3 linked regions of the Nothobranchius furzeri genome follow. The protein of the gene in region 3 binds, or shares a complex with, the protein of the main gene of each other region. Links are inferred from orthologs where the notes say so. Each region holds a gene or a part of one and is shown on either strand. Other genes may lie near its edges. The genes, in order: slc15a2, akap10 and pdzk1.

Region 1 (3,650 bases), about 6.7 Mb from region 3:
TGTGTGTGTGTGTGTGTGGCCCGGAGGACAGAGGACAGGAGAACGTGCAGTTAATTAATTAAATAATTTGGTTCTGTACCTTTCTCTTCAGCACAGCCGACAAAGGTTTAAGATGGGTCAGTCCTCCTGCATGCTCAGATCATTCCCTTCCCTTGCTTGAAAAATTGTTCCAAAATGAAAGTTGAACCCACATCTTTTTAATCTGTGAATTCAATGCCGTTCGGCGAGTCTCAAATAAAAATTTGGGCGTCATATTATGGTAAAACAATTATCATTATTGTAAAAAAGAAACTCCAAATAAACTATGTACACACCTGGAATCAAACCCAGGTCCTCAGCAAGAGAGTCAGCCATCTTACTAGGTGAGCTAAAGCACCAGTAACATTTGATGTATCTGTAACTTTTACATCCTTGATAACAGCTGAAACAACGTCAATCCAAAGAACGGTTCGGAGCGAAAATGGCTATTTTGTTGCTAATTTGCAGGAAATATCTAGAAGAAAGTTCTACAGAAAGTAGCTAAGGGTCCTCAGAAATGTAGCTAGGTTTGTCACTAGGCGTTAGGAACAGCGACAAAGTGGCACTGCCTCTCTCTCTGCTGCTAAAGCTACTGATAGCAAATGCTACGGGCTATGCCTGAGCGTGAACGCGCATGAAGCAGCCTGCTCGACCCGAGCAGCTCTCTTTTTCTGTGATTTTACAGAAAAACAGGCAATCACAGTAAAAATGCCAGGGCTCATTCTACAGGACCAGGGCATTGCAGGAGAATGTATGAAGAAGACATTTATTATTTCTATACATGTTTTGGCTGTCAAACTTCCATAATGCCCCTTTAATCTGCTGTTTACCAACTCCACCATTCCCAGGATCCACTGATTACCTCTTTCTTATTCATTTTCTCTCTCCCTTTTCTCACGTTTTTAATCACAATTTTTTACATTTCCCAATTTTATATTTTTGAATCATTTTAATTTGTTTTTTAATTTTTATTCTTGCGAAGCGCCTCATGGGTTTTATCTCGAGAGGTGCTAAATAAAATATACTTTCTTATTATCATTAGCACATAAATACAGGGAGGCAGTGATCCTTTTCCTATTGGACCTGACACCTGAAAATGGGTGTGGTCCTATCTCACAGGAAGGAGCTTCTGTGTCAGGATGGGTGATGCTCACCCAACAGGGTCGATCTCACCTGGGGGGGGGGTGCCACAAAAGTTCATTTCTGCACCTACCTGCATCTGGTCAGGCTTGATAGTGAAGGACTCTCCCTGTGAGCCAACAGGAAAGAAGCAGGTCAGAAGTTTAAACTTTAACTCTGTTAAAGACCTGATGAGTATCTGATTCATCAGTCATAAACAAGATAGTTTACTGGAATAAAACAACAAACTGCAGCAACACGCCAAAAAGTCCACGTCTGATGTCAAAGTGCATTTGGTTTTGATCATTTTGGGTAACGCAAGGAGAATCTTACAAAAGCCAGGTTCATTCTTGTGGCTTGGAGCGTCCAGCGAGAACCCTGCAGGACAGAAAACCCCAATTAGATCAGCTGTGACTACAGAAGAACTGAAATGTCACACCAGCCAGGATAATGGTGAAAAACTGGTTAAACAGCTAACAGGCTTTTCTGGGAATCAGAGTTTGTTTGCATTTTTGGACACTTTTTAAACAGCCGTGAATAAACTGTGAATAAATAACAATCTCAGGACAATAAGGTGCAGGAATGTTGGAGCTTTTAAGGTTTTCTGTAATCGAGCAGCAATTTCAAGGTTAAATTAGATGGGGGGATGAAGTCCATCTTGCCTAGGGCCCCCAAATATCTTCAAATGGCCCCGGCTGCAGGAAATTTAAAATTCTGTAAAACTTTGTTTTCATTCTGATATTTGTGCTAAACAAAGTCATAAAACTGTCATTTTGTTTTAAATGTATCTTGTTCTGTGGCCAAGCAGCAGAATATCACAATTATATTAAAAAGCAATTCTTAAAAACCAGTTTCACTTGCTAATATTAGCCGTTAGCTCCTTTCTAAACTATTTCTCTAAACAGAGGCTGTTCAGGAAGCTATCCATAATATATAAGATAATAAATTCCCACTAAACTGCTTTTGATATTTAAACTGTAGCTCATAAAAACAGGATGTGCAGATCTGCGCTGAGTCTTCCTGTACCTGCTGATCAAACAGAGCCCAAAACATCGGCAGAGGGATGTAGAGCACCAGAACCCGCAGGACCATCCTAATCTCCTCAATCAGGCGCTTCTGTTGGGAAAAGAACACAATAAACGGATTTAATGTTTCCAGGAATTTACAGTTTACGTTCTCAGGAATCATTCTTGAGGAAGGTTTTCGTACCGAGTACTTGTCCTCAGCCCAGTCCAGCCAGTGCGTCCTCTTTGGGGCAGACTTGGAGCTGTTCCAGCGGTTTTTAATAGCAAACTGCAAACAAAGATTCAGAGAAAGCAGAGTGGGCAAACACTGAACTGATTTAAACTGATGTGATTGGTCTGAGACGAGATCACTCACACCGATGCAGTTGCAGACTTGCAACAAGATGTTTCCCTGAGGTGGATTCTTCTTGTAAAGACTGCTGCCAAAAATGAACACGGCTGCGGAGGATGCATGAAGAATCAGTGTTACAATCACATAAGGGTGAGAAACTACAGGATCTAAGCGCCTCGTCATGTTTCTGCGGTTCAGCAACACCGTTTGGACTGGACCGATCCTCCAGTCTCATCCTTCCTGTGATTCATCCCTCTGGTTTCCTTAAATCATACTTTGTTTTTCCAAAAACCAGCCAGTCAGGCATGAATTTCAGAGACCAGGGGTGACAGGGACCAACAGGCAGAGAAAACGGGCTGTCAGGATGCATGAGGATGAGCCCAACTTGTAAAAACACAGCCTCTGCATTAACATCACAGCCTGATGAGGATGAAACATCAGCTTATGAGTCAAACTTTCCTAAGAAGGTTTTCTGCTTTGCACTGCTTCTCATCTGTCACTGTCACATTAGTTTCAGTTCTGGATTTAGGACCAATAAAGCATCCAATCAGGCTGCAGTGGTGTTGTCTCATCGCAGCTCCAGCAAATGTGAGGAAGTGCCTAAATTAGTTCTGACGGGATCATTCTGCTAACTCACAGGCTGCAAAAGCTACAATCACTTATCGGGAAAACTTGCATGATCTTAAATATCAATGGTTTCCCAACCAATGACACTAGGTTTCCAGTCTCTAGAACAGGGGTCCCCAAACTTTTGGAGACCGTGAGCTACTTTTACACAATGAAAGTACAGAAGAGCTACCGCCATAAGATATATCCATATTGATGCTTCCTATGTGTGAACATGTTTACTATGTTAAAAAATGCCATGCTAACTACATCAACATGCATTGTATTCTCAAGTTATTTTCTCTGAATTTCCAATTCATCAATATTGTAAAAAATAAAATTAAAAAGGAAAAGGAAAATAGTGACAATACTTTTTTAAAACTCTAACTAAACTAAACAATTTGTTTTTTAACTAATCAGACACTTTCAGATCCATCCACTTTCAGCCGCTTATCCGGGGTCGGGTCGTGGGGGAAGTAGTCTAAAAGGCCCAGACTTCCCTGCCCTAGCCACTTGGGCCAGCTCCTTTGGAGGGATCCTAAGGTGTTCCC
Region 2 (4,005 bases), on a different chromosome or scaffold from region 3:
ACAAAAGATAAAAGTGCTTTTTAGTTCTACTTTAGACTGAATATTATACATGACTGATTTCCCTGAACCTGCATAATTAGAAGCCAATTTATGACAGAAAAACAAACTGTATCTTTTCCCTAGAAACCAAATAATCAACACTGCCCTCACGTGGTGAGATGTGGTAACAGTCCCGAAAGAATGTCAATATATTCTAATAGATGTACAAAAAGGGAGACTATACACTTTGTAATATTTGTATTTAAATCAAACACATCTTAAATATATTATAGATCCAAGTACGCATACATGTCAGAAAACATTAAAGGTACATGGTACCAAGACTTTTTCTGGTTCCTTTCCACATTTAGGTAAGGCTCAAAGGAAATAAAAAAAGTAAAATTAACTGAGCACTCTTTCCAGCAGTCCGTTCTTCACTGAGCTAGGTTTTCAGTGATGTAATTAAAAAACTAAGACCACTATTAAAAAAACAAACATTAATATATGGGCTAAACCAGAATATCCATTTATATTTATATATGTATAGAACCTTTAGGGCATGGAGTTTGCATTTCTGACATCGCCAGAGCACTTTAGGTTCAATAGCGAGTACTTTTGAAGGTGCCTTAATATTAATGAAGAGGGTCAGCCAGTCCGAGCATGGGTATTTCACTGCCAAAATGTTCCACAATACATAACGGCAATGTAGGACGACTAACAGAGACGAGATGACAGAATCATTACACTCGTTAAACTGAGTGAAAAGATCGCAAAACCTGTACAACGCTTTTAATTGATACGCTCTTGGAGACCGACCCTCACGATGGAGGTCCATGTAAAAACAAGGAATGCCTAGAAAAGGTGTGAGGACGTGTGCCATGAAGGAGTGGGGCTTAGTTCAGTTTTTGTCACGTCCTCCACCTGTCTGCTGTACGACAGACAAAGCAGTAATAGTTCCGACACGCTGCTGCTACTTCTGTGTGTCGATGTTAATCAGAAACACGCAGATCGACTCCGTCCACACGAGCGTTTCCTTGCTGATTGATGCTGCTTCACTCGTGGTGGAAAACATCTTCAGTGTTACGGAACTGGAAGATTGAACAATGATGTACTTCAAGTTTTCTACTGGTCCATGAGTGAACAATCACTCACCTAAGCACACATTCTCTCACACTCACTCACTCACTCACTCACTCACTCACTCACTCACACAATGATGGGGAGATGATAAAACGATGTGTTCCGTCTAAGAGTAATGCATTTCATTGCAGTGTGAAGTCTTTCCGCAGTTCATCACTCGCTAAGCCTGTGTCTGCAGGGAGCGCCTGTCCTTTGGTTCCTTGGAGGGGTCATAACTACGAGAAAGAAAAAAAAGAAAACCCTCAGGAGAAGATCAGCCATAATCCCACCCATCACAGCCGAGATTTTTCACCTTGGTGGATTTACCGGGGCTGTCGTGGTTTGACTGGTGGACAACATCGTTGACGATCATCTTGGCGATCTGCCACGCCATCTCTTCCTGGGCCTTGATCATCAGAGCCACAGCAGAGATTTCACTATTTAAATTCTTTAATCACCACAATCTTCACAAAACAGTGTGAGATTATACATCTCACAATGGTCATTTACGTAGTTTATTAATAACATTCAATATTACCTCATCGGAGTTGCCTTGGACCCATTTCTTCATTGCTTGAGAAAACATGGAACCTTAAACAGGAGAAAACATAAACATCAAGCATCGATAAAATGAAAATATTTCATAATATATTTAGAATTTGGTCTTTTTCACTCCTAGTCACTATGATCCCACTCAGCCCTCGCTCCAACATGCATCCTGAGTGATCCGATCACTAAACGACACGCTTGCTTCCCCAACAGGGAAGGATCTCAGAATTTAGGAGCAGCAATTTTTAAAAGAAGAGTTCTTAAATATTTCAGAAGTTGCTAGATGACGTTTATATTCATTGCTGCAGAGAGGACAGACTTGTCATTGCAAGGACAAAACTGTACAGATAAGGACGGCAGAAATCAGAAGAAGAAGAAAAAAAGAAGAGTATACCTTTGGATTTCTTCACATCTGGTTCTGGCTCAGCCTCCCTGATGAACTGACCCAACTCATTCACCTTCCCAAAAGTCATTTTTCTGTGAAAACGGAGCAATGAACAATGATGAAGAGAGAACAAAGGAGCGAGCGTTTTCTGTGGCTGCAGAGTAGAAACACTAAAACTCACCCGGCGTATGGCCGTTGGTACAAATTCTCGGGGTCTAAACTGGCGACGTCCACCGTGATCGCCTCGTCAAAGTTTTTCAGAATCTTGATCAAAGCTTTTTTGGCACCTTGCTGCAACAAAGATACAACAAACCAAATGTTCAGCAGCCTTCTGGGTAACATAGTTTCTTTCTAATGGATACAGCTAAACGAGAGGAGGGATCACAACCTCAGAACGTCAGCAGGACGGGTCTAAATGTCAGCAGACAGAGAACATCCCCACGGGCAACGGAGGAGCTCACCTGGGTCTGAGAGGCCTCGCTGGCATTTGAACTGGAGCGGTCGTTTTCCCCCGGCCCGCCTTGACCTTGAGAACTGATGTTCACAAAGTCATCCGCCCGCACTGAATTAATGAGGTCACTCAGGTATTTGTAATAAAGGTTGTTAGACAGAAAGCCGGGCAAGTACACCTGGACAAGAGAGATTTGTCAGTGAGACACAACTGTCCAAAGGAATCATCACTTCAGAAAAGGCTAAATAAACATAAATAAGTAGAAAACAACCTAAAATCTGCTTCCTGAATCCACGTGGAGTACATTAACGTGGTTTAATGGAGAGATGGTGGTTTTTAATGAATTCTACACACAAACACATTTACAAATGTCTGAATCTGACCTTCTCCATGGTGGTCCAGGCCTGTCTGAGCGGAGTGGTGAAACAGTCAGGGAGAGGCCCTCCCTCTCGACAGATGTTGGACTCGATCTCCATCCGGACAGAGTCGCCAAAGCCCAGAGGGTTCGTGGCCTGGAGTGAGAAATACCTACGAACAAACGGCAAGGATGACCAACCGAGCTCAGATATAGATCAACATAGATCGTTGATTCTGCAGGAAATGCATTTTAACTTCACTAAATGAGCAATAAATCACGCCACGATCACAGGTTTAAGTTGTTTACTTCCACTTAAACACATGTAGGTACACCGAGAAGCCAGACAGCCAAAACCCACCCAGATGTTTTATGCAAAACCACATAGTGAATAAAAGCAAAAACAAACACCAAAAATCTAATTGTTGCAGAAATTTAAAGGCACAATAAATTACTTTGTCATATTTTTTAATCAAGAATAGTCTCTTTACCCACTCCGCTTCTTGTGAGCTGAATACTGTACTTGCAACTAGACCCTCCCAAGACTGGTGATCTGAAGTCTCACAAAGGCACTTATGTCATGAGAAGCAGTACCGCTTCATAGTAATCCATATTTACACCTCTGGACGGACAAGCTAGAGGTGGTCGGTGTTTATTGTATCGTGTTGACTGCGGTGGAGGCTCAGAATAAACAAAGAAAACCTTCATCTGATGAAGCAGAAAAGACAAAAAGAACATTTATTTATTTATTTTGACTGATATTTTATGAGGATGAAAACCGCTTGAGATGAGCCATCACGTTTTCGAGTGGGTCCTCTTTCTTTACAATCAATAAAAAAGAAAGATAACAGAGTCAATGTACAAACAACAAATCTAGAATGTTAAAACAAACACAAATTTCATAAATAAACGAAATAAAATTAAACAAAATAAAAAAATTATAGTGAAATAAAAAATATATAAATAAAGCCTGCATGGTGTAAGCCAGGCATATATATATATATATTTATGCGACAAATTCGAACTATTTAGTAGATTACGTTCGGCTAGAGTAGAATTATCAAGCCAATTAAATTGAAATCCCCTAGTAAAATAATTTCACTAGAGTCCCACAATGACTGAAATAATTCTATTAAGTTTTTTATTGCTTCATTTTTGGGAGAGGAG
Region 3 (3,751 bases):
ATTTATTATTTATTTTCATAAAGTAATTAAGTCAGAAAAAAATGATCTATTGAAACACAAGCTATGATTGGGTTTGTCTTTTTCATTTGAGAAGTACACCAATAACATTTGAACTACTTTGACCCTATATCTGAGTTGTCCTACATGCTACTATGACTTATACTTGTACTTCACTCTGAAGTTGTTAGATGAGTAACAGAACACACCTATGATAACATAAACCACTCCTATGTGGTTTTCCATCAGCAACAGCAACACTCTCACCCTTAGCAACACATGTTATCTGCTTATCTATCTATATGCCTTATGACTATAGGAGAGGAGGGTCTGTTCATGACTGAGGTGATTCGGGGGGGTGTGGCGGACAAAGCAGGAGTTCGTGCCAAAGATCGTCTAATTGAAATCAATGGTGAGAACGTTGAAAAATGCACCCACGAGGAAGCAGTGAACAAGATAAAACAGGGGGGCAACAGCGTGATGTTTCTGCTGGTTGATGAGGAAACCGACAAATTCCATCAGAGCAAACAAGCAAAATTAGGTTCGTGGAGAGCAACAGTCAAGTATCTTCCTCTCCATCCACGCATCGTCAAAATGACCAAAGGATCAGATGGATATGGCTTCCTGCTCAGAGAGGAGCCCAACCAAGCAGGCAAGGCCATGGTAACATGCTGTACTTTTCACTCCGGAGTGATGGCCTAATAATGTACTCCTTTACTTCTTTCAGGACACTTCATGAAGGAAGTAGATAAAGGCAGTCCAGCGGAAAAAGGTGGTCTGATGGAGAATGACGTAGTTGTCGCTGTGAATGGCAAAGAGGTGGACGGCTACAGTCATGAGCAAGTGGTGGACTGGATCAAGCAAAGTGGAGACAAATGCTGCCTCCTTGTGGTGGACAAAGAAACACAGCAAATGTATAAGAAGGTGAGCCATAGACCTAACCTGGAAAGCCAACTTATATTTGTAAAAGTCTGGTCACGAGTCACTGAAACCACCCAGCCATGAGGCTAAATCTACGGTTGTCTTTCAAACTGTCTATGCATGCAACTGGACAGTGCTAGGACCAGTCAGAGCAACGAACAACATGATGTAATCATCACTACAAATGTTAGTCAGCATGGCAGTTCACCATACACCGTTGAAGGAGAAGCAAATGTATCCTTCTTTGAAATAAATGACTTAAGTACCTCTATCTGCTCATATCCCAAAGTAGATGCTAAAGCTATTTCAAATGAGCGCCATTTCTGAGCTGACGCCATATTTGTAGTGTTTCTCCATCACAGCTCTAACGTTAAGCCTGTATAACACATTTGAAGTGTTGTAATTGGCAAGACACAAAACTGATCAGGCCATTGATAGACCCGCTGACGTTCCTATGGAGCGTGGCTAGACCGACCTGCAAAGCAAACCTTTTTGCTATTAGTCTGGATTTCTAGGCTCCCACTGACTCACTGTTCGTCATTAGATGTCTACTGTAGATAACATATTGTCATGCTGTTTCTCAAAGGGAAAAATATCTCCTATGCTCTTCTGGGAGGAAAAGAAAGACTCCAACTTACCACCAAGTTACACAGAAGCTTTAAAAATGCCTGTTTCTGCTCAACCATCCACATCTGTTCAAGAGACGATAGAAGACCTTCGACCAAAGCTGTGTAGGATGGAGAAGACCTCTTCTGGTTTTGGCTTTCACCTAAACGGCATCGAGGGTGTGTGTGGTCAGTACATCAAGGAGGTAAGATCAACATAAGTACTCAATTTCTCATCATTAGTATCTCACAACCAAGACAGAAAACACCATTTCTCTCAGGTGGTGAAAGGTGGACCAGCAGACAAGGCCGGTCTGGGAGACGATGATGTAGTGGTGGAGGTAAACGGGGTAAATGTGGAAAAGAGCTCTCATGCAGAAGTCGTGGAAATGATACGCAGAGGAGGCAACACTCTGGAGATGTTGGTGGCCAGCAAGAATGTCTATAAACAGCTCAAGGACAAAGGCATGACGATCACACCACGGCTAGTCGGGGAAGGTCCCAGCAGTCAAGTCCACGTGTCAAACAGTCCAGAAACAAGCAAGAAGACACGGGAGGAGGCCAGGCCTGTGACCCCACCTAAGGCAGAAAAACAGAGGGTGAGTGCTTCTCTTCTCTTTTAGTAATCAACACTATAAAGATGTCAATGATCCAAAAGTCAGTCCTCCTCTTTAAATTGTATAAATTGCGTGTTTTGTGTGGAAATATTTGGTATCTTCTAACACCCATGTAGCACTACATTAACTGGTTCTTCATCTTAACACTGACAAAAGTCCAAAACCTGTTGAGAAATTCAGTGAATCTGATGTGTTGCACGTTTAATGCAATCTGTTTAATCACATGCAGCTGCTGTTGCTCAAATTATAAACAATACACAAGTTTCATGTTAATTTGAACATTTCTATTCAAAACATTATGAACACAAAATTATACACATTTCCATTTAGTTTTGGATTTTAAACCTTATATGCTGCCAGTTTACCATCTATGGTAGATCTATAATGAAAAAGCATGCTTTTCTGGTCTTTTTTGACAAATCATGTTCGGATTTATGAAAGTATTCTAAAAAAACAAGAGAATGTGTACATTTTATGTTCTAATTAGCTTTTTGTCTCTTTTGTATTTAATTTTTTGTATCTTTTTTCCTTTTCTTTTAGTCTACATCTGTGTCATCCTCTTCATCTGATGAAAGTCTCGACGAGAGATTTTGAGGAACACTTGAAACACTCCCAATTAGGCCTAATCGGATGTTAATTTTATTAAAACCAAAATGCTCAATGAGCTTTTGATATCCTGCTTAGATTAAAACTGTAAAAAATGAGTAAAAACTAGAAAAAAGACAGTAAAGACTGTAAAAATCTGATCCATAGCAGAAGTTTCATGAGATGATTACAAAAAATGACATTTTTTTAAAGCTTGTGATCAGAAATCTTTTGCTTGTCGATCAAATTTAAGCATCAAAGTCTTTCTTACAGCAGAGGAAACCAATAATTCAGGATGTTTTTAACAATTAAGAGTGGTCTTTTTATTCTCTTTATGCTCTCTGCTGTTTTTATTTAATGTTGAAACAGAAATGCTGCTCACATTTAGAAACCAGAAATAAAATTTATTAAAACAAATCAAAGAAAACATACCATCTGAGTTAAGCCTGACTTCATGAGTTTCTGGTCTCTTAAACCAAAAAGCAGATCACATTCAGTGTTCACTCCTTTCCTTCTTACTCTGATGTTAAACAGGAATGTAAAACAGATAGTCCAGTGTACTGAGACTCAAAAAGCAATATTCCTCTTCTGAAAAACCCAAAAATATATAATCTAGGGGCATAGCAAATACAATTTTAGTTTTTCAAGAACATCTGCATTCTTTATAGCAGTGTTGTTCTGTAAAATACTGCAAGAGTCCACGACTTCCAGGGTTTTGTGTAAAAACAAGAGTAAACGAATCTCTGAAAAAAACACTGGCCCAAGCATCAGGAGTTCATTTGTGAGCCAGGAGCGATTCCTCGGGAGTTCAGAGAGTCATGTGCTTCTCCGGGGCCTGCTTGTGGGCGAGATAAAGGAAGAGGATGCTGGACAAGGCGCTGACCAGGAAGATGACATCAAACCAGCGGTGGTAGAAGTTAAACTGCAGTTCTCCCAGAACCTCACTCACAATGGAGCGATACTCCAGAGGCATGCTCATACGCATCAGCAGCACCGATGAGACGAAATACATCCCCTGTTAGACAC

Evidence for each region.
Region 1: the proteins of pdzk1 (region 3) and slc15a2 are in contact, whole or in part, in a crystal structure (PDB 6EZI), measured with the Homo sapiens proteins. The link is inferred for Nothobranchius furzeri from reciprocal best matches to the Homo sapiens genes PDZK1 and SLC15A2. Residues at the interface, in NP_001188254.1 of Homo sapiens: Asn386, Gly387, Tyr388, Gly389, Phe390, His391, Leu392, Asn393, Ala394, Ile395, Arg396, Gln407, Tyr436, Glu437, Val440, Ile443, Gln444; in NP_066568.3 of Homo sapiens: Glu723, Thr724, Lys725, Lys726, Thr727, Lys728, Leu729.
Region 2: the proteins of pdzk1 (region 3) and akap10 are in contact, whole or in part, in a crystal structure (PDB 3TMH), measured with the Homo sapiens proteins. The link is inferred for Nothobranchius furzeri from reciprocal best matches to the Homo sapiens genes PDZK1 and AKAP10. Residues at the interface, in NP_001188254.1 of Homo sapiens: Asn386, Gly387, Tyr388, Gly389, Phe390, His391, Leu392, Asn393, Ala394, Ile395, Arg396, Phe402, Lys404, Tyr436, Glu437, Val440, Ile443, Gln444; in NP_009133.2 of Homo sapiens: Pro655, Leu656, Glu657, Lys658, Ser659, Thr660, Lys661, Leu662.

What each region holds. Positions count from the first base shown.
Region 1 is NC_091754.1:31,331,292-31,334,941, reverse strand, and holds part of slc15a2 (solute carrier family 15 member 2), read right to left. Parts: intron 2,601-3,650; coding exon 2,518-2,600; intron 2,431-2,517; coding exon 2,164-2,430; intron 1,516-2,163; coding exon 1,471-1,515; intron 1,268-1,470; coding exon 1,232-1,267; intron 1-1,231. UniProt on the Homo sapiens protein: Proton-coupled amino-acid transporter that transports oligopeptides of 2 to 4 amino acids with a preference for dipeptides. Transports neutral and anionic dipeptides with a proton to peptide stoichiometry of 2:1 or 3:1.
Region 2 is NC_091750.1:53,062,404-53,066,408, reverse strand, and holds the end of akap10 (A-kinase anchor protein 10, mitochondrial), read right to left. Parts: intron 3,012-4,005; coding exon 2,867-3,011; intron 2,662-2,866; coding exon 2,494-2,661; intron 2,324-2,493; coding exon 2,214-2,323; intron 2,125-2,213; coding exon 2,042-2,124; intron 1,690-2,041; coding exon 1,637-1,689; intron 1,505-1,636; coding exon 1,426-1,504; coding exon of another isoform or gene 1,412-1,425; intron 1,335-1,411; coding exon 1,273-1,334; 3' UTR 590-1,272; downstream 1-589. UniProt on the Homo sapiens protein: Differentially targeted protein that binds to type I and II regulatory subunits of protein kinase A and anchors them to the mitochondria or the plasma membrane.
Region 3 is NC_091754.1:24,601,009-24,604,759, reverse strand, and holds the end of pdzk1 (Na(+)/H(+) exchange regulatory cofactor NHE-RF3), read left to right. Parts: intron 1-316; coding exon 317-649; intron 650-724; coding exon 725-921; intron 922-1,504; coding exon 1,505-1,729; intron 1,730-1,804; coding exon 1,805-2,122; intron 2,123-2,680; coding exon 2,681-2,734; 3' UTR 2,735-3,156; downstream 3,157-3,751. Other genes in the region: si:ch73-390b10.2 (Golgi pH regulator), read right to left, coding at 3,534-3,740. UniProt on the Homo sapiens protein: A scaffold protein that connects plasma membrane proteins and regulatory components, regulating their surface expression in epithelial cells apical domains.